Xenopus tropicalis: one gene and its partners. The main gene of each other region encodes a partner of the protein of the gene in region 5 in a complex. Links are inferred from orthologs where the notes say so. Each region holds a gene or a part of one and is shown on either strand. Other genes may lie near its edges. The genes, in order: med24, med4, med25, cdk8, ccnc, med16 and med7.

Region 1 (3,500 bases), on a different chromosome or scaffold from region 5:
AGATCTAATATACAGTTGCTTTGAATTTGAGAGCAGATAAGCACTACTAGCTCCATGAGCTAGCTCCCTGTAAATTAAACTTATTTTTAACGTGTTGGTGGAGGATGATCTGCAGCCCGGGTGCTCCGGCAGGGGTCGGGTCTGGGCCGGCAGGGCCCATCTGTTTTTTTCCCAGTGCCCCGCCAGCCCAGTCCGACCCTGGAGTTTGGCTGTGTTAGGCTTGCCAGGATTTGCAGGGGAACCCAAGAACCCCTGCTCTATGGACTAACACAGAACAGCAGAATCAATTTTTGTTCTCACAGTGTCTGTAACATACACCAAAAAAGAAAATCCATACAGCAGTTAAGAAGGGAGACACACTTTAATGGTGCACTTGCCTCTTGGGCTTTCTACCTGCTGGATACTGGTCAGTGCCCAATAATACATACTAGCTGTGCCATCTAATCATTTCTTGCTTTTTGTCTTCCAGACTCAATGAATTCACGAGACATATTGGAGTAGAGAGCTGTAAGTGTCTTTCTTTTTCCCTGGTTGCAATCAATAACACCCGTATCCATTAATCTTCCCTTCCATTAACCTTCCAACTCCATTTCCTACACATTGGCTACTTCACTAACTGTAAGTGAATTTGGCCACTGAACTGATTCTGTCTCCTCAGCAAAGGCGGCCAATGTCCGAGCCCTGCTTTTTGATATCTCCTTCCTGATGCTTTGTCATGTGGCACAGACCTATGGCTCAGAGGTAAGGCAGTTTCTGAGTATGTGGCTCCTCAGTTTTTGCTAATTTTGCCCCAGTTGTAGTAAGAAGAGCTCTAGTCACCACCACCATCATCAATGGGTAGCAAGATTATTTACATTAACCCTTGTGCCAGGCATTTGAATGCAGTCAGATCTGAAATGTATTGTGGACCATGGAAGCACATACTGGGATATGGGAAAGATCAACTAAGTCTTATTCATTTACTTTTTTCTGCAGATGATCCTATCTGAGGGATGTCCAAGTGGTGAGATGCCTTTCTTTGAAAGCTGGATGCAAACGTGTATGCCAGGGGAAGGGAGGGTGCTAAATCCAGACCACCCATGCTTTAGACATCCAGATATTGCAAAGGTGGAAGCCCTGGTGGCTCTGCTCAACACATCCACGGAAATGAAGCTGGCGTATGTTATATATAGTTACACAGACTACATTCCCATACATTGTACATGTATTGGTTCTAACTTACATCCTTATTCTGTTACGCAGGCAGACAAAGTGGCATGAAGTGTGCCTGAGTATCCCTGCGGCCATATTGGAAATTCATAATGCCTGGGAGAATGGCGTCTTGTCCTTTGAAGCCATTCAGGTATGAACTGGTGTACATTATATAGAGATATCAGGGATCCCTGCCTCTCTCTACCAAAAGTATAGACAGAAGGGACTTCTTATTCTTTCTTCCTACTACTTCACTGATTTTATGGACCCCTCCCTCACTCATACTCCTAATGTACATATGCCATAGAGCCCTTCCTTTCTTCTGCCATTAATATGCAGATAACAGGGACTTTTTCCACCCTCCTACTCCTAACTTTCAGGCATCAAGGACCCTTACCTCTATGCTACTGCTAATAAACAGACATAAAGGACTTCTACCTACCCCTTCTCCTAATATACAGACATTGAAGATCCCTGCTTCTAATATGCACACTTCAGGGACCCTGTTTACGTGAATGCCATGGCATTTGAATCTTCCTTACTCTTTTTTTCCTAATTCACAGATATCGGAATAAATCTTCTTACCGATATCTAATCCAGCCCTCTTCAGCCTTTCCCCCACTCTGTTCTAACACATGCACACACAGCTAGCAATATTCTTCATTTCCCAGGGTGCCACAGCCATGTGACCTGTGCTTTGATAAACTTCAATCACACTTTGAAAGTTGGCCTGATATCACCCCCCTCTCCGAAGCTGATCAGCAGCACAAAGGGAAGGGAGCAAGATAGCAGCTCCCAGTAGTTATAAGAATAGCACTCAATAGTAAGAAATCCAAGTTCAACTTGGGACTCCTCCAGTTACATGGGAGTAGAAGAAACAATAGGTTACCTGAAGGCAGTTTTAATGTGTAGCGTTGGCTCCTTCTGAAAGCCCAGGCAGAATGCGCAGAGATGGCGTCTACGCATCAGTGTTACAGCTAAAAATACATTTGTTGGTTCAGGAATAAAATGTTGAATGGCAGAGTGAATTATTTGCTATGTAAACAGTATAATTTAGACGTAAAGGGATTCTATTATGATTTTTATGGGGTACTTTTTAAGTGGTACGCCCCACTTCAAGTGTAATGGAGTTACTTTGTGTGCTACAGAAAATCACAGACAACATCAAAGGGAAGGTGTGCAGCCTGGCTGTATGTGCAGTTGCCTGGTTGGTGGCTCATGTCAGAATGCTGGGACTAGACGAGCGAGACAAGTCTCTGCAGATGATCCGCCAGTTAGGATCACCCATGTTTGGGGACAATACTTTGCAGTTCTACAACGAGCGGTAAGTACCCCGAGCTTATGTGCAGTCTTTTTAGAAAGGTGTAAAATATTTTCTTCCATGTGTAATTACAAGTATTTACATTCTGTACTATTGTTTTTCTTCTCTCCTCTTAGAGTCATTATCATGAGCTCTATCCTGGACAATATGTGCGCTGAGGTTCTGCAGCAGACTGCCACTCAGATTAAATTCTCGGCTCCAGGAAGTGAGCCGGTGCCTTACATACATCGCTTGCCCCCTAAGAAGCCCATAAAGGAAGTTCTGAGGGGGGCATTTAGCTCCACCTTAGAAAAGGGATGGGTTGATAGCCGCACCCTACATGTATTTGATACATTGCTTCATATGGGGGGTGTCTACTGGTTCTGCAACAATCTTGTAAAGGTGAGTAAGGGGAGGATGCTGTTGTGAGCAGATGAGGATTCCACTAATTTGCCAAATATAAATACATGGTTTCTCTTCCTAGGAGCTGTTGAGGGAAACACGGTTGGAGTTTGCTTTAAGGGCGGTTGAGCTGCTCTATGCCATCTTCTGTTTGGACATGCAGCAGCTGACGCTCACCCTTCTAGGGCATGTACTGCCATCCCTGCTTACAGATTCTGCCAAATGGCACATGCTGATGGACCCTCCGGGCAGAGCACTGGCAAAGTGAGTGAGCTACACTGGGAAAAATGGTGCAGTAATACAGAAGTGATCTCTTGGATAGACATTGTCCCCTCCCACAGAGCAATGACCGTTCAGTGCCCATGTGGTGCCTGACATTGTGAACCTGTAGGTCACTTTTGTACATTGGAAACTGTATGCAGCTTTGTCCATTCCCTCAACAGGTTATCGGTGTGGTGTGCAATGACCTCCTATTCCACCCAAAACAAGGGCCAGCCATCTCCCCGGCAGAGGAAACGGCATAGAGAAGATATCGAGGTAAATGATTTTTGGATTACACAGATGGAAAATCTGTGTATATGCTATTGAACTGGAAGGAGGCATGTTT
Region 2 (4,070 bases), on a different chromosome or scaffold from region 5:
TTATGCACATTTTTTACATAACCCAACTAAATGACTTCATGTCCAAAATAGGGGAAGAAACCAGGGGTAAACCTGCCAGTTTCCAGTCATAAAAAGACCCCAAATATAAGAGGATCTAACAGCCAGACAAAATATTTGACTTCCAAAATTGTGGTTTCCTGTGTCAAATGATAGCTTAAAGAAGAATGAAAGTTAAAAATCACTGGGGGTGCCAAATGTTAAGCAGCACCCAGTGATGATAATCACTTGCCTGATACCATGGGCTGGTGCTCCTGTGTGTGAAAAACTGTTCTGGCCTGAGGTCTGATATCTGTAGGAGCACCACATCATCATCTTCCATTTCTTCGTCCTTCTTGTTGGCCCCTGGCCAGTGCACATGCACAGTACAGTGACAAGCTGTTTTGTTGTTTCACTGAGCTTTTCACTCTGCCATGTATGCGCACCCAAACCAGGGCTCAAGAGAAGTATGAAGCAAAATAAGGTGGCAACAAATAAGCTCCTACAGAAGAACCCCAGGCCTCAGGTAAGCAATTACTACTGCAACAGCTAAGCTGCTCATGCATGCTCTCATCCTATCCCGACTTGACTACTGTAACCTGCTACTAACCACCTCCCTAACTCCCATCTTTCCCCCTATAGTCTATATCAGTGATCCCCAACCAGTGGCTCAGGGGCAACATGTTGCTCACCAACCTCTTGGATGTTGCTCTCAGTGCCCCCAAAGCAGGTAGTTATTTTTTTTAATTGTGTTGCTCTCCAAGTCTTTTTACATTTGACTGTGGCTCACGAGTAAGAAAGGTTGGGTCTGGTCTATATTAAAGGAAAACGAAAGGCAAAATCACTTGGGGGTGCCAAAATGTAAGGCACCCCCAAGTGACTTTAACTGCTTACCTCGTACCCCGGGCTGGTGCCCCTGTTAGAAGAAAACAGCACCAGCCCGGGGTACCTGGAGCGGATCGCTTCCTTCTTCCTGCTTCCGTTGCTGAAATGCCAGCGGTGGGCGCATGCGCAGTAGAGTGAAAAGCCGACTTTAATGTTTAAGTTCAGCTTTTCACTCTACTGCGCATGCGCGCGCAGCGAATCAGGAAGAAGGAAGCGCCGGCAGCTACCCCGGGCTGGTGCTGTTCCCTCCTCACAGGGGCACCAGCCCGGGGTAAAAGGTAGGTGGTCAAAGTCACTTGGGAGTGCCTAACATTTTGGTGACTTTGACTTTCTTTTTCCTTTAAATACTGCTGCCAGAATTCTCCTCCTCTCATCCAGGAGAGTTCAGGCCCTTCCCCTGCTAAAGTCCTTATCGTGGCTTCCTATTAAACAAAGAATATCTTACAAACTCCTTCTCTTAACCCTCAATTCCTCTGCTCCTTACTACATCTCTTCTCTTGTGTCTCCCTACGTTCCTGGCCGACTCCTTCATTGCTCGCAGAGCAACCGCTTTGTTGCACCCCCCACTACTACTGCAGTTTCCTGCCTTAAACCTTTCTGCCTTGCTGCTCCTTACATTTGGAATGCCCTCCCTGATTTCCTCGGGAGAGAATCCTCCCCCAGTCTTTTCAAAGATAAATTTAAAGACTACCTCTTGGAGCACTCACCCAGCACCTGATCTGGGAACTAGCACTTATATTGTCACCCACTGTAACCTACAGCACTTATAGTTAAAAATACCCTCCTATATAGATAGTAAGCTCTACGGGGCAGGGACCTCCATACTTTTGTGTCTTTGGCTCTTAACTTATTGCAACTGTATCTTGTATTTATTTGTATATATTGTTATCCTTTGAATTTCTGTTATTATCTTAATAACCCCGTTTGTATTAATGTAAATAAAGATATACATACATACATTATAATAACATCAGGGTGCCTACAATTTTGGCACCCCCGGTGAATATACTTTTACTTCTCCTTTAAAAGAGTTCAATAGCCAAGTATAAAATGTAGTTGCCCTGAAGAGCCACACTCCCCCTTCCTGTACCACATCAATGAACTCTTCTAATACAGCCCTGTCTGCTTTTCCAAAAACACAGAGTAGCGCAGTGGAGCTAGTGTACACCAAACTGCTGTGTAGCTTACCATACAATGACAGAATTGCAACATGAGTCAATGTATTTTTTATAAAGTGTCATTTTTCCTTGTGGTGCATTACAGTGTATCCCATGTTTCCCACAATGACTGATATAACGCTGAAGCAATAGCAACAGGTCTTACTTTGCCATTTGACTAAAGGAAAGGGGGGTTTGAAGAAGGCAATTCCTCAGCACCTTGAGGAGCAAGGGGCTCTAATAAAACAGTCGGAAACCAGGGGTGGTGCCACCCTAAAAGAAACCTGAAGGAAGATCAGACAAGTATTCATGCGCCAAACCACATCCATATGTATCACTGTGCGCCACTGCTATTCCCCATGGGATGGCCTGTCCCCACCCACCGTTATACATCAACCGGGGCCCTTTACAGATATTATTCTGGCCCACTGTGCAGTAAGAACAGCAGGAAGGACAAACCCCAACTTACAGGGCTTTTAGGTGGCCAGATAATAGGGCAACGCTCTGTAAGCGCACAGCGCTATTATAACAAAGAATCCCGCACAGTGGAATTCCGAACTTCATTGCTCGTAAGGTGCCAAGCATTTGGCTCTGCAGCTGCTGGAAAGCCACGCAAGAAACAATATTGGCTCCAAAGTATTAGGTGCAGTCCCGAGAAATAAAATGCCCGTGTCGCATAACGCCCTCACCTAGACAGCACTTCCAAGTCGTCCAGGAAAGACATCAGCCTTTCCTTCGTGCTCTTCTCCGGAACAGCCATGTCTGCGGATGGAAGAGAGGCGGGGCTAACGAGCAGTTCCGGGAAGGAATCAAGAGAAACAAGTATCTGTCGAAAAGCGCAGACGTTTTTCACAGCGCCATCTAGAGTAATTTAATGGAACTTAGCGATCCTACTCACATAACTAGCAAATGCCAGTTGGGCAGTGATGTAGATGTCGGCTGCGGCAAATTCACTGAACTGGGGCCTATGGGTGGAGGCTGGAGAACCCCCCCCCCTCACCTGGTGATGAGCTTTCAGTCATATTCACATTGGTGCCATTCACAAACCTACTCATGGTCCTCAGCCAAACAAACGGCCATGATCACAGCATTTGGCCAAAGCATGTCTAGACATGGTGGCAGGACATATTGGGACACTCACATTTCTTGTTTTCCAGCATTTCATGGATGGCACAGTGCGGTCCCCTTAACAAACAAAAGTACTATTTAATGCACTGGTAAACAAAACGTGAGCATTTCTTCCATGAGATTCAGGAGAATACAAATTCACACATTTGTCTCTTAGGGGAACTGAGACTGGCAGCTTAAAGGGCAATTTCACCCTTTTCACCAAAATGTCTCTGAACACCTCAGAATTCATTTGTCTGCTTCTGTCCTGTTTCACATCATCAATAAACACTAGTGTCCCAGTGCCACCGACAGACGTGCACGCCCAAGCCATCACACTGCCTCCACCTTGTTTTACATATGATGAGGTATGCTTTGGATAATGAGCTGTTCCACGCCTTCTCCATACTTTTTTATTGCCATCATTCTGGTATAATTTGATCTTGGTTTCATCTGTCCAAAGAATGTTTTTTCAGAACTGTGCTTTTTTAGATGTTCTTTAGCAAAATCCAATCTAGCCTTTCTATTCTTGAGGCTTAGGAGAGGCATGCACCTGCAGTGCACCCTCTGTATTCACTTTCATGCAGTCTTCTCTTTATGGCAGACTTGGATATCGATACACCTACCCCCTGGAGAGTGTTGTTCACCTGGTTGGATGTTGTGAAGGGGTTTCTCTTCACCCTGGAAATGATTCTACGGTCATCCACCACTGTTGTTTTCTGTGGACGTCCAGGTCTTTTTGTCCAGGTCTTTTTTTCACCAATGGTTGCGTTCTTTCTCAGGATGTACCAAACTGTAGATTTTGCCACTCCTAATATTGTAACAATTTCTCGGATGGGTTTTTTCTGTTTTCGCAGCTTAAGGATGGATTCTTTCACTGGCACGGAGAGCTCCTTTGACCACATGTTGTCTGTTCACAGCAAA
Region 3 (2,798 bases), on a different chromosome or scaffold from region 5:
TTTTACAGACAAGAAAGAAAAAGCACTAAGTTTGGCCAGGCACAGTAACCCATAGCAACCAATATGATGTTTGCCTTTAACAGGTAACCAGTAAATTCTGCCCGCTGATTGGTTGCTATAGGTTACTGCTCATGGGCAAACGTAGCACCTTTTGTAACATAACCCCCATTGCCACTATTGTGAGGAAACAGCTGTGGAACATGTGGCATTTACTCATGGGGGATTCTCTCCCTCTCCCTGGATGATGCATTTTTATATATATTTTGGAAACCTGGCATATCTATATGCAATATGAATTGACTGAACTGCAACTAACCTCATAATTTCATAGCATAGAAAACTGACGGAGTACATATCTTTATGCACTACGTACTTACTGAACTGTAACAAACTACACAGTGGATAAATTGTGCCTCATTAACGGGAACTTCATTAACAAGGACACAACACAGGTGGGAATCACTATTTATTATTAATATTATTATTATAATAATAATAATAATAAATAGTGATTCCCGCCTATTTTTATAAATTCAGTGGTGGTGTTGTCTCAAGTTGTCTCTTCCGGACCAAAAATGTGTTAAAGAGCCCCACACAACACAGAAATCCCTAAAATACCGGTCACTTTAATCTGGTCCTTCAAACAGTATGAATAAATACCATTTTATTTGCTGAAATCCAGCTGCAAAACAGTTCTTCTCTTTCTACATTTTTAATTGATGAATTATATTTACTTTTCAAAAAGCTTAAGTTGTGTTTGGGTGGAGTTCCCCTTTAAGAGATAGCCAGTACATTTTGGAAGGCAGATATGGGATTACTAAGGGGCACATTTACTAATCCACGAATCCGAATCTTGAATGGGAAAAAATCACATTGGAAACGAAAATTTCAGAAGATCGCAAATATCACGAAAATGCTTACGAAAAAATCGTATTAGTCACGATAACATCGTATTGGCGATCCGAAAGTCACGAAATTTTCGTACCGAACAATTGCAAACAGCGGTAAAACCTTTCCCTATTTTTTCGTGCGCCGTACAAAAAAGTCGTGCGGACGCCCGAAAAAATCCCGAAAACACGCTCGGAGCATTCGTGCTTTTGTAAATGTGCCCCTAAGTGTTGTATCTAGGTAGAAGAATAAAACTGGCTCATATAATATAATATATATTTATTTTTATTTCTTCCTACCATATAATATCAACATTAGGAGGGGCCTGTCACTCAGGAGTAGGGGGCATGGTTTTAGCCTTAGGATGAGGTTCCAGGAGCTACACATAAAGATTCAGTACGGTATCCTTAATATCCTAAGCAGATCAGCCATTTGAATTTTCAGCCTGTCACACTGTGGCTCAACAGTGCCTGTTCTTGGGAATGTAGTAGTTTCACTCACCCCCATAGCCCAACATCAACAATGCTGGACATTCTATGATTAGTCTTCTCTATATAGCAGTGGAATTTAAAAGGAGCAACTTAAATCAGTCACTTCCCCAGCTAAGCTTACAATTTACATTTCCACACCATTCTGTCCAATTGCCAGTTATGGTAAATGCTTTACTATCTGGAAGAGCTATAGGGGGAAAATATTCCCATCTGGTTTCCTGGATACTTACAGGCTGCTGGCTCAGGAGGAGGTTGCGTAGCTGTGGGTTGGCACCAGGGTTTTGTGGTCGGAGCATCGCTCCTGGCTGTGGGTTCTGAGGCTGGCCAGGTGCTTGAACGGTGGTTTGTGTGGCTTGTGGTGGTGCCTGAGAGGCTGCTTGCTGTGGTTGCTGTACTCTGATGTGTAACTGGAAGAAAGCAGCATAGTCATCCTTGTGTTATTGTCAAGCAATCATCACTAATATAAATGATCACTCATTTAGTCCCATTCCCCCCACCCCCCTCAACAAGATTTGAACATCAGCTCATAGCCGGAGCGGAGTCTGACGCTACTGCTCTAAAGTGTTCTTCCACCCATGCACGGCAACAGTAACGTTGTGTTATACTACAACTCTCAGCAGCGCATAGACATGTGATGGCTCAGGCACCATCATGGAACATGTAGTCCTTTAGGGCTGCAGACTGACCATCTGTTTATCAGAGAAAACGTATCTGGTTCTCCTCCAGATGTTAAAAGGATTTTCTACTCAGAAACTTTATTATATTTTCAGAAAGGAAAAAAAAAAAGGTTACTCCCCCCTTGACATGAGTTCATCGAAGTTGGGTTTATGGATAAAATGTGTAGTATAAAAAAAAAAAAACACTATCTGAACTTCCAGAAATATAAAATAAGGAGACCATTATAGTCCCCACCCCTTGTGCTCACAGCGAAATTCAACCCCTCCCTTATCTTGTTCCATTGTGAAGTGATGGATTCTGGTACTTGAAGTCCCCCCCCGCTTTGGTGGGTAGTGCACAGATTATATTTATTTCTGAAAGTTCAGACATTATTTAAGCATTTTCCTACATAAGGCCAACACGAATGAGCTCAGGTCAAAAAGGAGGGTATAGTTTCCCTTTAAACAATTTTTAAAATGGATGAATATTTAAGAAAATAAAATATTCTGTGAGCTATTTGGTATTTGGCTGAATCCAGGCATTTTTATCTGCTGCATCCATAGAAAGTAAAATAACAGATTATCTCAAGAAAAAGAAAAACTCACCAAATTCTGTGTTCTCTGTTGCTCATCCATCATAGTGACTTGGCTAATGGAGGGCATGCCCGGGGCTACCTGCTGGCCTTGCATCTGGAGAAATGAGCAGATTGTATCATTCTCTCTTCTACAACCATGTTATCCCCATATATAAGAAGTAACACCA
Region 4 (3,500 bases), on a different chromosome or scaffold from region 5:
AGCACAGCGGCCCCCATGCAAATAGGTGCTGCAGTAAAGTGGCTATACAGTCCCACAGTGGTTCTGTTTGTGCAATCCTATGTAAAGGGGTATGAGGGATAGAGAGAAGTGAGACACAAAGGCATGTTACCTGATAGTCTGAGGTCATTATGAGCCCACCTGAGGTAGTGGTAGGGGGTACAACTCTCACTTTCTTTAAAGGTGGCCCTTGTGCGTGACTGTTATCTTGGTTTCCTGGGTGACCGGTTCCATTAGTATGGTTATTGCCTTGCTGCTGCTGTTGGTTTTTCTTTAAGGATTAAAAAAGATAAACAAGGTTTAAAGGAACATCCAAAGGAAAACTGGAAAAAATAGTTTTGAAAATATCAAGAATTGGCCTAAAATATTATATTTTGTAATGTCACTGGTGGCCCCAGCCCATATATATATATATATATATATATATATATATCCAAAAAAGACCAGCAACACAGAGTTATGTTCCAAAAACAATCAATTGTGTATTAAAAACGCATGAACAGCCATGTTCTGTTCATGTGTTTTTAATACACAATTGATTGTTTTTGGAACATAACTCGGTGTTGCTGGTCTTTTTTGGATATTTAAATCATTTACCTTGCACCCGAGCTAAGAGCTGAAGCAGAGTGCCACCCTGGGTTCGCTATATATATATATATATATATATATATATATATATATATATATATATATATATATATATATATATATATATATATATATATATATATATATATATATATCTCATATATTATAAAAAAAAGTCCACCCAAAAATTGTTTTTATTTGTGCATAGTGTAAATAAGAGCAACTTTCCAATAAACATTCATTAAACATTTTTAGCAGACTGAAACAGCCGCATAACAAACTTGCGGAGAACAAAAGAGTCGGTACTTGCAAACAGAAAAAGAACAAACACTATATTCAAGTACAACTATATTTAGAACTATTGTGCTATTTGTATATAGATATTGGGTAGCACAGACAATTATACAATGCAAAAGGTTAACATAAAGGGCTGGCTCCCTATGTATGCATTAAAGGGTTAGTATAACTCCTTGTAACAACCATTTTAGTGTGTGCTAAAAAGAGGCCATCCCTCCCAAGGTTTGGGGTACAATTGGCCCTAGTATTGCGCAGCAATATTCCCTAACTCCTGTGCTATTGCATGTTATGTGTGTGTTCATAGGAAACCTCCAGATAATCCAAGCTCACTGGGGTGGCACCTCCATGCAAAGACTCCTTTAGCCAGATACAGGGAGTAATTCTGTAGGGGACCCAGTCATTGACTGCACCATCAAAAACCAAAACGGAGCCTGCTTTCTCTATAGCTACACCGCTGATGGTGCCATTCATTACCTACCCCTACAGGGTACTTTAAAGTAATTAGATGTGTGTAGAACATCTACTGCAGATGTGGAGGAAGGATTTCTCAGAGATTAATTACCTGTGCAGTTATTGTTCCCAGAGTGATTAAATGGGTTCATTACAGACACCTCAACTGTCCGCTACAGGGAATATTATTGTCTGGAATTGATCCCTTGTGAAGAAATTGTTTCCCTTACCATGTGTAAAAGTAATCTATTGATTAGGTACGTAACTAAACCATGTATACCCGCCCCCCCAGGTACAACCCGAGGGAAGTTGTGAGGTGTGGTTTTTTTTAATTGGCTCATATTAGTCACAGGGCTAGCGGTGCAGGCCATTAATTGCTCTGAATCCAGTCATTCTGTGAGGCTTTAGAGGGGGAAAAAAATCAATGTATTCTCAACCCTGTGCTCCTAATGGCTGGACAAGCAATGTTATATAAAAGGTACAGGATCTGTTATCTGGAAACCCTTAATCCAAAAAGCTCCAAATTACAGGAAGGCCATCTCCCATAGACTCCATTTTAATTAAAATTCACATTTTTAAGAATGATTTCCTTTCTTCTGTAATAATAAAACAGTACCTTGTACATGATCCCAACTAAGATATAATTACCCCTTATTGGGGGCAGAACAATCATATTGGGTTTATTTCATGGTTAAATGATTCCCTTTTCTCTGTAATAATAAAACAGTACCTGTACATGATCCCAACTAAGATATAATTACCCCTTATTGGGGGCAGAACAATCATATTGGGTTTATTTCATGGTTAAATTATTCCCTTTTCTCTGTAATAATAAAACAGTACCTGTACTTGATCTAGTGCTGGGCGGTATGACCAAAAATTTATATCACAGTATTTTTCAAAATTATATCGGTATCACGGTATTTGACGGTATTTTTTTTCCCCCATGCATGATTAGGTGACCACCCCAAACACCCCCCCATCCGCACGCAGCCCCCCCACCCCCCCATCCGCACGCACCCCCCCACCCCAAACACCCCCCCATCCGCACGCACCCCCCCACCCCAAACACCCCCCCATCCGCACACACACCCCCCACCCCACCCCAAACACCCCCCCATCCCCTTCACATAAATATAACCCCCCACCCCCCCCAAACACAACCCCATCCCCTTCACATAAGTATAACCCCCCCACCCCCACCCCAAACACCCCCCCATCCCCTTCACATAAATATAACCCCCCACCCCATCCCACCCCCCCAAACACAACCCCATCCCCTTCACATAAGTATAACCCACCCACCCACCCCCACCCCAAACACCCCCGCATCCCCTTCACATAAATATAACCCCCCACCCCACCCCATCCCACCCCCCCAAACACAACCCCATCCCCTTCACATAAGTATAACCCACCCACCCCACCCATCCCCTTCACATAAAATATAATTACTGGCCAGGCACCCCCCAACAGCTCACATTGGTATCCGACTCTGAATGCGTTCTAGCGATGGCGCTTTTGTAGAGTGTGCGCGCTGACGTCACGTGCGCGCTGACATCACGTGCGCGCTGACATCACGTGCGCGCTGACATCACGTGCGCGCTGACATCACGTGCGCACCCGGAAGTATTCAGCACACCGGTATGGGGGTATGTAGAAAATTCATATTGGTTTCAAAAAAAAAAACGGTGATCGGTTTTTACCGGTATACCGCCCAGCACTAACTTGATCCCAACTAAGATATAATCAATCCTTACTGGTGACAAAACAATCCTTTTGGGTTTATTTAATGTTTAAATAATTTTTAGTAGACTTAAGATATGGAGATCCAAATTACAGAAATACCCCTTTATCTGGAAAACCTCAGGTCCCGGCCATCCTGGATAACAGGTCCTGTACATGTACGGATATTTAAGTCTGCATTTGGATACTCATGGTCTGGCTCATTATTCAAGTTACACTCTCAGATAAACTGGAAGGATATCTGGTGTTAACATGCTCATCCATTGTCTGGCGTGGTCTTTCTGGCACGTCTGGGGTTAACAAAAGGACCACTGTCCATTTCTGCTTTGATCTTACTGGCATGTTTGGGCTTAATATGCTCATTTTACATTTCTGCAGTCAATTTACTGGCGTATCTGGGG
Region 5 (3,500 bases):
CCTGTCCCATGTCCTGCACGTACTGAAGCAAGGGTCTATAGGGATGATATACTATCAAGCAACAATCCTGTAAACAAGGGATAAAATATTAGCCCAATGTGCAATGTTAATGTTTACTTCATGTAATCATATGCAATTCACAAACACCTCCCTGAATCCATTGTGTGCTCCAGATGCACAAGTAAAGACTAGTAATGACTGTTCCATCTGTGCACTGAAAGACTTAACAGTCTTTACTGTATTAAAAAATATTTTTTATTTTTTTTTTTAAAGTGTAACGTAAATCAAGAAACAGACACTGCCTTTTCTTTTTTTAAAAATAACAACCCACACACTATATCATGCAAAAAAACAGAAGTATTAGGGGCTGATTTACTAAGACACAAATTCGAATTGGAAAAATTCCAATTGGAAAACGAACATTTTGCGACTTTTTCGTATTTTTTGCGATTTTTTCGGCGACTTTACGGAAATTATCACGACTTTTTCCTTACCAATACGATTTGCGCGAAAAAACGCGAGTTTTTCGTAGCCATTCCGAAAGTTGCGCAAAATCTTGCGATTTTTTCGTAGCGGTAAAACTTGCGCGAAAAGTTGCGCCTTTTCCGTAGCGTTAAAACTTAAAAGGCGCGATATTTCGCGCAAGTTTTAACACTACGAAAAAATTGCGACTTTTCGCGCAAGTTTTAACGCTACGAAAAATCGCAAGATTTTGCGCAACTTTCGGAATGTCTACGAAAAACTCGCGTTTTTTCGCACAAATCGTATTGGTAAAGAAAAAGTCGCGAAAATGTTCCGAAAAAAATCGCAAAATACCGATCATTACGAAAAAAACGCAATCGGACGCATTTGGCCAGTTCGTGGGTTAGTAAATGTGCCCCTTAGTGTTTTACTTGCCTAAACTATACTTTCAGAATAAAACCAAAACAGAGGAGCAAGAAAGCAGACCTATATTTTTATGGACAATTAAACCACTTTACTCACCATTAATTCTAATAGGTAGAATTCACATTCCAATATCTGCAAAAAACAAAATCATTCAGATATTAATCAATGAATACAAAATAATGCCCCTAACCAGGTAGATATCCACGAGCTGTGCATAAACAGATCCTGAGGTTAGGGTGACTTGCAGTCAGATGTGACCCTACTGAGATGCTGCTTGCTATATCTTTACAGTTCAAGTAGGCTGAAAGACAAAAGATTGTCTTAAAGGAACAGTAACATCAAAAAATTAAAGTGTTTTAAAGTAATTAAAATATAATGTGCTGTTGCTCTGCAAAGAAACTGGTGTTTTTGCTACAGAAAAGCTACAATATGAATAAGCTGCTGTGTAGCCATGGGGGCACCCATTCAAGCTGGAAAAAAGGAGAAAAGGCACAGGTTACATAGCAGATAACTAGTAGATAAGCCCCATATAATGGGGATTTATCTGTTATCTGCTAAGTAACCTGTGCCTTTTCTCCTTTGAATGGCTGCCCCCATGGCTACACAGCAGCTAACTTATACAAACTATAGTAGTCTTTCTGAGGCAAACACACCAGTTGTAGCAATGCAGGGCAACAGTACATTATATTGTTATTACTTTTATACACTTTCATTTTTTGGTGTTACTGTTCCTTTAAATTCTGTCATTGGAGGGAATTTGATTTCTGCTGTCCTCAGAAAGATCTGCATTCAAATCTGCTTTTGCATCTCATTAACTTTAATGGGAAAGGTGCTGCCAGAAACATGTCTTGGCAAGTGGCTACCATGTACAAATTGATTTTCATATTTCTGAGCAATCCCACCTCATATGGCACAAGAGTGTCACAAACACAGCTTGCCATTCAACTGAATACAAAGCAGCTGCTGCATACTGTTGATAAAACATAAACCAGAAGTTTTATATCTGCCCCTAGAATTGGGGTTTACACAATGCATAGTGACATTTAGATAAATAACAGGCAACAAGTAAAATTGCAAATTAGAAAAATGTATTTCATTACAAACCAGGCTAGTATAATATATTCATGAAGACATGATATGTAACTGGCAGTCCATAAAAAGTCAATCCCACGGTTAATTCTATCAATATTATAATGGATAAAGGCAGAATACACAAACGGTCATGGCTGACCCATTAAGGTTATACAAAAAGGTTCTGGGGCAAAGCAAAGCTAGAAAGGGCAGGAAATACCATCTATTAGGTGCATTTGAATGAGACAGTAGGTAGAAAAAGCAGCTTGTCCATTTGGCTCGCAGCCATTACTTTCCACAACTATTTAGTTAATCGAATAATTTATGTAAGGAATGGGGTATCAGGGATGGACAATGTGGCAACACATTACAAACTGCAAGAATCCTTTAATGTCCCCCAAAAGCTCATACTTGTGAAAAGCCTCTAGTAAAATAATCCTAGCAAAAAGCTAACTATTCCACCTCATTATGTATTCCTTATGCACAAACCATTATTGCAATCTAAATTTTATAATAGGATTTAAAAGTGTTAAAAGCTATGGAGTGCTCTACTGGCAAAGCTATTTCAAAACTGTAACACATTATGGAAAAGCATGCCTGTACATCTAAAACATTTCACAAGCAGCTACAAAAAGCATTCTGAAAAGGCTTGGAAATACAAAGTTATCATACATACATTTTCTTATTCAGACCAAATCATTTTGATGATTTCAGTAACAGATACAAAGATACATTACAGACAAAAATATAACTGGGCATGTATTAATGTTTGTGTAGAAATAACTCCAAAGTGTTCTCTCAAACCCAAATGAATAAGAAATGTTAGTACAGGTATGGGAAACCCATTATCCAGACAGCTCCAAATCACGGAAAGCCCGTCTCCCATAGACTCCATTTTAATCAAATAATTCAGATTTTTAAGATTGTATTTGATATAGTTAATCCTTATTGGATGCAAATTAATCCTATTGGGTTTAATGAATGTTTTATTGTTTTTTTTAGTAGACTTAAGGTATTGAGACCCAAATCACGGAAAGACCCCTTATCTGGAATACCCTTGGTCCCGAGCATTCTGGATAATGGGTCCTATACCTGTAGTATGTTTAAAAATGTACATTATTTGATTAATTTGGAGTGTTGTGTGTGTTATTGCTGCCCAAGTGGGTACAGCAGTTACTGAAAACAAAGGTTCACAATCTTACCACACAAATAATTAACTTTGAATTATTCTCCTCAATTAAAGAGCAAGCATTATTTTTCACTCATATGTTTAATTAGGTTCTCATGATCTAGTTTTAGTACTAGCACGAAAAGCAGATCACATTTTAGTTCATATGTATGCACGCATATATGGAAATTTCAAAACGATTCACACATTTGCAAGTCCAGTGTACATCATATCTTGTCTTATTTTTAATTTAGTGGCTCTTGGTGGTGAATAGAAGCTCTAAATCACCGTCATATTGGATTACTGGGGGCAAGTATAGAGGAAGGTCCCTGCCAACTCACTGCTGGCATTATTGGAAGGCTCAAAGCAACTG
Region 6 (3,500 bases), on a different chromosome or scaffold from region 5:
TATCCAGCCAATGCAGTCAACTAAAAATCAAAAAATTTTACCTGATTTGGTAGGCTGGCCAGCAGATAAAGTACAAAATCACCAAGCCACTGTATAAGCTGCTGAAGTGACTGAAGGGTTGGCATGTCCAGCACAAACTCTTCTGTCTTCAAGTTAATCATAACCTTGTCTATATCTGTGTAGAGAGAGAGAATGTACAAAAGTATACATTATATACTTGGTGGGTCAGATCGGGCTGATGTTTGAGCCCTAAACCAATAACCAGATTATAACGGAGCCTATGGAAATCAGTTGGAAAATGACCAATATATGATCAATATTTAAATGTGGTCATTGTATGAATGAAATTTTTAAACCTCTGGTCGGTTGTCACTACCATACATGGGCTAATTAGCAATCAACATTGCCTGAAGAGCGGAGACAGCAGCTTTTCTCTGCCTGTGTATGATTATTTCATCAAAGGATTTCTATTCCTGCCACTCACCAGTATCGGTGAACTTGTTGCAGATCTCAGTAAGCCGATCTCCAGGACTCTTGTCAGGAGTATTGAGAACATGAGGACGAAGTAGAGATTTTAAGGTACAACTGATAGAGATGAGGAAGAGCTTTGCATGATAATCACAGACACGAGTTACAGTGGTTTGAGACAGCTTACATAGAGACGCCTTCATGGCCAGAATCCGAGTGGAAAGAACCTAACACGACAAGATCAGAGATGTTACATATTGGTACTCTAGTAAATGGCAATGTCTAATTTAAGCCCCATCTTAATAAAGAAAGAGAACCATCTACTGCAGATTATTGTGTTTCGACTACTCCCACTATAAAAGCAGCAGCTACCTCCTCCTCACTTCCTGATATTCTAATAATTTGAGCTGTAGGCCTATATACTAACAGAACATTACAGAGGCAGTCATATTGTGTATGGTTCCTTGTATAATTATTCCAATACTGTGTGTAGTCATGGCATGTATGTCCACTTTAAAAAGCAAGAGAGTAGATGAAACTAATATTAAAGCTAGGTAGTTTCAGCAGAGGGGTTTTTGATCAATTAAATAGTATTTATGTAAGTGCATGTTACTAATATAACATCTCTACACATAATATCTCCATATCTGTGGTCTATAAACACTATGATCTATAAGGCCACTGCACCTCTGCATGGCATTTACCTGTTGAAGTGCCGCATTCTGCCTAGTGTATTCCTCGTTTAACTTTTCCACTAAATTATGTACCATGCCAGGCTGAACATGGAGCAGTATATCCCACCAGTCATATCCAGTCACCATGCAGTATTCCAACAAGAAAAGCAGGTGACGTAGGGATGTTGACATATCCAAGGAATGCCCCATAGAAGGAGAGACTCGTAGCATACTTAGCTGTGGGGAAAGATCAAAGGTCACACAAATACAACAGCACCATAAAGAAATTCACTGTGATTATATGGGCCAGGATTTTTTGTAATATCAGTTTAATCATATTCTTTGATGCCAGTGTCTTTGTTTTAGTGTAGCAAAAGGCTGTGATGTAACTAGAAGTTACTGGGCACCATAAAATAATAAACATAAATTAGACTCCACTCAACATTGCAAATTTATAAAAACTATTTCAGTGTCCTAGAAAGCTATCAATATCAACTGGGTCCTCCAGCAGTCACTGGTGTTATGTTTTAAATACATCTATGGCTGAGGTGCAAACTGATCTTATCATTTTGTATTATTCATAAAGGCACCGTTTTTGAATTTTAAATATATTTACGATTATGCTTATGCTACAGATAACTGTAGATCAATTTAACCTCTAACACCAAACTCTACTACCTGACCCATCCTTACTGTTTTTATACCATCAAAATTGTTATTTGGGGCTTTTTTTTAAAACAGAACACTGTCATTCCGACCTGCCTAATATTAGCAGTAAAATCTTTAACGCTGACCTTGCCCTGTGTATCTAGCCCAACCAAAGCAAGCGAGGTCCACGACATCTGCAAAGCTTTAAAATGAATGCAAGGGGTAGGCGAACGCTGCCGTTTTAAGCTGGGTTCCTCAGAAGGCCGCAGAGATGATCCATACAAAACTGCCATTGGCTGCAGGGAAAGTCTATGAACAATCTGAACATTTCCATCATGGAATGCCAATGCTAGACCTGTAAAAACAGTGATTGATTAAGTGTCTTAAATAAAAGAAGTGTATCCAATTTCTTTGCAGATCAAAATAAACTAGTGGGTAATAACTTACCAAGCCCAGGGTAAAACTTGGTTTCACTTGCAACCTTGATGTCAGTATTTGTGAGAGAAATTGGTAGCTTGGGCAGAGCCACAGCAGAAACACGCTCTAACTCATTGGTGGCTGAGAGGATACGCCACTTCAGGATCATGGGCTGCTTGTCACTTACTGCAAGAGTGAAAGGTGTTTTAGGCTTGAGAGGAATGTGGAGAAATTATGCAATGATACATTTTGGAGTAAGTGAAGCATCTAACTGAGGATAAAATGTTTAGGAGTAACAGGAAGATATTAAAATACTTACCTGCAGGGGATAGCTGCTGGAATATATTATTAAGTGGAAGACCCTCTTTCCGAAGAGACCAGCACTCAGCTATGCTGGAACACTGATTGGAAGCACAGAGTAAAACCTAAATCAGATGGACAAAACACTGTAAGTTCTGTGTGTCCAAAACATTTATTTATCCTTATCCTTTAGTCCTTAATGCTGATGCCTTTAAACGACAAGCAAAGGTTTAATCACCAGGGATGCCAATTTGACACCCCTCAGTGATTATAATTGCTTGCCTCAGACACTGGGCTGGTGCTCCTTTTCACTGAAAAATGCACCAGTCTAGGGAAGTAGTCTAGTAGCACTGCTCTGCTATCTTCTTTGCTGTCTTTACTTCAGCCCTGGGCTGTGCACATGCGCTACTGCTCTACAGTTCATGTTCACAGCCCATACCAGCTCTTGTGTATTCTCCTTTAAGCTGTTCCCTTCAAATTCAAATACATGAAGATTTTTTTTATTATAGTTACCCTATATTCCTATAGTAAGAACTTAAACCACAATGAATCAGCACGGGTGGGCCCCTTAGGTCATTACTAAGTTAATGATAAACAGAAACATTGGCGAAGCAGTCACCCTGCTATAGTTTCAGGGCAACAACTAAGCATGTACTCCCAAATCTCACCCTCAAATTAGCCTCCCTACTATGTACTGAAGCCCTCTGGTTTAAGGGAACTAAAGGTCCCCATACACGGTAAGATCCGCTCGCTTGGCGAAATCACCAAGCGAGTGGATCTTCCCCCGATATCCCCACCTACGGGTGGGCAATTTCAGGGAGCTTGAAGTTAAAAAAAAAAAATAATCCGAACGTTTACCCACCCCGTAACAACTTTTCTTCTCACCTGTTCAGACATATCCCGCGCAAGGAATTTAAGGTGCGTCACAGCTGGGAACTTGTCCTTGCGTGCAGGGTCAGTTGTACAGCGCATAAAGAGAGAAGGAAGTATCTC
Region 7 (3,325 bases), on a different chromosome or scaffold from region 5:
CTGCAACTGATGGGGATTCCTGTAATCTCACCAACCTCCTTAGGAAATAAGGCCTAGGTGCCCACAGCACCACCCTTCTGAAAATAACAACTGGCTGGGGCAGCCAACAAGTTTACCTTCCAAATATTTTGGCCAGCATCTGTAGACTGCAGGGTGGAGCTTACTTAAACATATCCATTCTACCAATCAGAATGAGGATGGAATGTTGTAAATGCACAGATCCTGGTACTCATGTTTTTGTTTCTGTATAGCAGCTCTTGTCCCTGCACCTTAGTGCTCACAGTGTGTTGTTATTTACAGTGCAGCATAGCATCCTCCTATCATGATAAAATGTATATTCATTGCTACCATTCATGAATTTGATCCCAACCTAAGCACAGTCATTTAACCCTTGCTTTGTCACAAAGGCTGACACAGGGGAGATAGAAAGCTTGCATGTAATGTGAATGCACACAGCATCCTTAATGGAGGTGGATAATTAATAGGAAAGATGCTAGAAGTGACAGAGGGTTAAAACTATAATGCAGTAATACAAATATTAAAGTAAATAAACATGATAAACTGTAAAGGCGAGCATTTCAAAATATGGACTTCTCCTATAACAGATAACAGCACCCATTTTGGGATTTTCATGCTCCAAACCAATCTGAGACTAAAATATTCCAATTCAGAGAGAAAAAGATACAAACAATTGTAATATTAACTTTTAAATAAACTTTGATATCTCAGAACATGTGAATAACTGTACAAACATAACTTGCAATGAGTAGATTCCATACATAGTATATCAGTTAGATAACATTCAAAAGTCTGACCCCAGTCCTTTGTCTGTTTAATCACAAATAAGCAGTTACCACCCAGGTGTTGCAGAACTACAACCTTCCATTCCTCATACACATGAACTGGCAGGGAAAACACTGAAAAATATTAGCCTTCTTGCATACTGCCTTTTCAAAAGCATGGCAGAAAAGCACAATAAACAGACATGTACATGAGCAATAGCTGTGACTGAGTTCCCTTGGGACAAACATTTTCCTTGCCAAGTCCCATGATGAATACAACCAACACATAGAGCCATGCTATTGCATTTCAATGAATCCTTGTGACTTCTAAAGTTCAAGAGTCCTGATTAGAACTGCTTATTGGACTAGGTCATTTCATCGATGATAACACACATAGCTGCATCCTTATCAATTGTGGTCTCTTTCAGAGAAGCTGCTGCTGCCTCCTGGGGCCCCGCATGATGGTCCGTACAGGGTTCCCGAACATCCATTGGTTCAGTTTTTACACTGACTGCGCCATCAGAAAGAGGGAGGTCATTGGGTAGCGATGCCAGACAGTTCTGGATCATCTCCACCACTCGCTCTAGATGTTTCTGGAACCTCTCTGCCGTTTCCAGCCGCTGACGTTTCTGCACCTCCATCATCACCCGCAGGGTCTCACGTGCCTGGTGGGGCCTGTACTCATTAATAAGGTGGTGCATGTGAACAAATAACAACTTTAGGTCCTCCAGTTTCTCCTCCCTTCGGATGCTGCCTGGGCTTCGGATCAGGATGTCCAACATATCCAGAAAGTTGACCAGGATGGACATAAGGAGCTTCCTCAGCTCCTTCTTATGGTCGAACTGCATGGGGTGGAGCCTCTCGATGCCCTGAGTTTCCAGAGGGCGGATAATAAGGTCATCACACTGAAACTGGTTGCCAAACATCATGTAGCTGTCCTTTATGGGGAGGGGAGGCTTGGGGGCCAGGCCCTTGCGGATGTTTTCATCTGTGTACTCCTTAATGTACTGCATGGGAGGTATAGGCAAAGCGCTGACCTGCTGAGGCTCCCCCATTATGAAGTGAGTAGGAGAACCTGTGACACAGAAAGAAAAAGCCCATTCAGTTACATACAAATAACAATATAAATCCCTGTGTGTGCAGCACATATATATATATATATGCATTCCAATTGATGATGCGCACTCCTGTATTTTTTTAGTTCATTTATTGTTACATTATAAAGTTAAAAACATCAACGTTTCGGTCCAGGTCTAGGACCTTTATCAAGATGTTAAGCCATAAAAAGTCACACACATAATGAGTCTTTATATAATACAAAATGCCTAACCCCGCCCACATTGAGCATAGCCCCAACCCCATTTCACAACCCTTAAGCTGGCCATACACGTGGCGATCTGACGATGTTTCGTACGACCATCGGTCGCACGAAACATTGTCAGATCCGCCACACACCTTTCAAGGCTGAATCGGCAGGTAAGAAGGTAGAAACAATAGGATTTTTACCTCCTTCTGCCGATTCAGCTCTGAAGGGAGAATTTTGGTCAGGCGCCTTCTATGGCGCCCGATCAAAATTTTCAAACTGGTCCGATCGGCGAGTCGGCCGATATCAGCAGATTCCTGCGATATCGGTCGACTCGCCGACATGCCATACACGCACCGATTATCGTACGAAACGAGGTATCCTGTATAGCACATACTGACCTGCTCCTCAACTCCTCTCTCATTCCCTCCTCACACGCTCGCATTCAAGACTTTGCAAGGGCTGCCCCCCTTCTCTGGAATTCGCTCCCACAAACTGTCAGACTTTCTCCCAATCTCTCTGCCTTCAAGAGATCTCTAAAAACACACTTATTTAGAGAGGCTTACCCTAATCTAGTTTAGCAATACCCTGTGCCACACCTCTCACAACTCTGGCCATGCCCATTCCCACACCTTGTGTCTCAACCCTTTCTCCTTGTAGATTGTAAGCTCTTTTGGGCAGGGCTCTCTTCACCTCTTGTATTGGTTATTGATTGCTTTATATGTTACTCTGTATGTCCAATGTATGTAACCCACTTATTGTACAGCGCTGCGGAATATGTTGGCGCTTTATAAATAAATGTTAATGTAATAAAATACACAAATTGTGAATTAAAGAAAACATATCAGTACAATTAATAAACACTATTACAATTAATTAATTGTACTGATGTGTTTTCTTTAATTCACAATTTGGGGTTGGGGCTCTGCTCAATGTGGGCGGGGTTAGGCATTTTGTATTATATAAAGACTCATTATGTGTGTGACTTTTTATGGCTTAACATCTTGATAAAGGTCCTAGACCTGGTCCGAAACGTTGATGTTTTTAACTTTATAATGTAACAATAAATGAACTAAAAAAAATACAGGAGTGCGCATCATCAATTGTAATGAATACAAGCTACAACCAGGTGCAGCACCCTGCAATCAAGTATGGAGTAAGTGTGTTTAATGGGAGTGTGGACCGAAAGGTATTATATATATATATATATATATATATATATATGTATACTGCACACACA

The links.
Region 1: ccnc (region 5) and med24 share a complex: the UniProt entries of both Homo sapiens proteins name them as parts of the mediator complex. The link is inferred for Xenopus tropicalis from reciprocal best matches to the Homo sapiens genes CCNC and MED24.
Region 2: ccnc (region 5) and med4 share a complex: the UniProt entries of both Homo sapiens proteins name them as parts of the mediator complex. The link is inferred for Xenopus tropicalis from reciprocal best matches to the Homo sapiens genes CCNC and MED4.
Region 3: ccnc (region 5) and med25 share a complex: the UniProt entries of both Homo sapiens proteins name them as parts of the mediator complex. The link is inferred for Xenopus tropicalis from reciprocal best matches to the Homo sapiens genes CCNC and MED25.
Region 4: the proteins of ccnc (region 5) and cdk8 are in contact, whole or in part, in a crystal structure (PDB 5CEI), measured with the Homo sapiens proteins. The link is inferred for Xenopus tropicalis from reciprocal best matches to the Homo sapiens genes CCNC and CDK8. Residues at the interface, in NP_005181.2 of Homo sapiens: Met1, Ala2, Gly3, Asn4, Ser8, Ser9, His10, Gln13, Phe72, Tyr76, Lys79, Ser80, Ile81, Asp82, Leu85, Leu93, Lys96, Val97, Glu98, Glu99, Phe100, Gly101, Val102, Tyr130, His134, Leu136, Glu137, Glu139, Phe140, Tyr141; in NP_001251.1 of Homo sapiens: Met1, Asp2, Tyr3, Asp4, Phe5, Lys6, Leu9, Arg13, Gly58, Ile59, Ser60, Met61, Cys64, Arg65, Ile67, Ala68, Leu69, Arg71, Glu72, Leu73, Val84, Leu86, Ser87, His88, Arg91, Lys92, Val93, Asn145, Trp146, Val147.
Region 6: ccnc (region 5) and med16 share a complex: the UniProt entries of both Homo sapiens proteins name them as parts of the mediator complex. The link is inferred for Xenopus tropicalis from reciprocal best matches to the Homo sapiens genes CCNC and MED16.
Region 7: ccnc (region 5) and med7 share a complex: the UniProt entries of both Homo sapiens proteins name them as parts of the mediator complex. The link is inferred for Xenopus tropicalis from reciprocal best matches to the Homo sapiens genes CCNC and MED7.

The regions. Positions count from the first base shown.
Region 1 is NC_030678.2:112,526,224-112,529,723, reverse strand, and holds part of med24 (mediator of RNA polymerase II transcription subunit 24), read left to right. Parts: intron 1-469; coding exon 470-507; intron 508-658; coding exon 659-741; intron 742-975; coding exon 976-1,157; intron 1,158-1,242; coding exon 1,243-1,342; intron 1,343-2,339; coding exon 2,340-2,515; intron 2,516-2,628; coding exon 2,629-2,893; intron 2,894-2,975; coding exon 2,976-3,157; intron 3,158-3,336; coding exon 3,337-3,430; intron 3,431-3,500. UniProt on the Homo sapiens protein: Component of the Mediator complex, a coactivator involved in the regulated transcription of nearly all RNA polymerase II-dependent genes.
Region 2 is NC_030678.2:134,878,375-134,882,444, forward strand, and holds the start of med4 (mediator of RNA polymerase II transcription subunit 4), read right to left. Parts: upstream 2,801-4,070; 5' UTR 2,800-2,800; coding exon 2,729-2,799; intron 2,659-2,728; exon of another isoform or gene 2,625-2,658; coding exon of another isoform or gene 2,509-2,624; intron 1-2,508. UniProt on the Homo sapiens protein: Component of the Mediator complex, a coactivator involved in the regulated transcription of nearly all RNA polymerase II-dependent genes.
Region 3 is NC_030683.2:117,444,694-117,447,491, forward strand, and holds part of med25 (mediator of RNA polymerase II transcription subunit 25), read right to left. Parts: intron 2,726-2,798; coding exon 2,642-2,725; intron 1,787-2,641; coding exon 1,610-1,786; intron 1-1,609. UniProt on the Homo sapiens protein: Component of the Mediator complex, a coactivator involved in the regulated transcription of nearly all RNA polymerase II-dependent genes.
Region 4 is NC_030678.2:155,762,677-155,766,176, forward strand, and holds part of cdk8 (cyclin-dependent kinase 8), read right to left. Parts: intron 290-3,500; coding exon 131-289; intron 1-130.
Region 5 is NC_030681.2:82,038,208-82,041,707, reverse strand, and holds part of ccnc (cyclin-C), read right to left. Parts: intron 1,021-3,500; coding exon 985-1,020; intron 68-984; coding exon 1-67. UniProt on the Homo sapiens protein: Component of the Mediator complex, a coactivator involved in regulated gene transcription of nearly all RNA polymerase II-dependent genes.
Region 6 is NC_030677.2:100,796,234-100,799,733, reverse strand, and holds part of med16 (mediator of RNA polymerase II transcription subunit 16), read right to left. Parts: coding exon 3,393-3,500; intron 2,633-3,392; coding exon 2,527-2,632; intron 2,394-2,526; coding exon 2,238-2,393; intron 2,146-2,237; coding exon 1,937-2,145; intron 1,380-1,936; coding exon 1,173-1,379; intron 696-1,172; coding exon 485-695; intron 176-484; coding exon 42-175; intron 1-41. UniProt on the Homo sapiens protein: Component of the Mediator complex, a coactivator involved in the regulated transcription of nearly all RNA polymerase II-dependent genes.
Region 7 is NC_030679.2:14,184,034-14,187,358, reverse strand, and holds med7 (mediator of RNA polymerase II transcription subunit 7), read right to left. Parts: upstream 1,869-3,325; 5' UTR 1,838-1,868; coding exon 1,148-1,837; 3' UTR 501-1,147; downstream 1-500. UniProt on the Homo sapiens protein: Component of the Mediator complex, a coactivator involved in the regulated transcription of nearly all RNA polymerase II-dependent genes.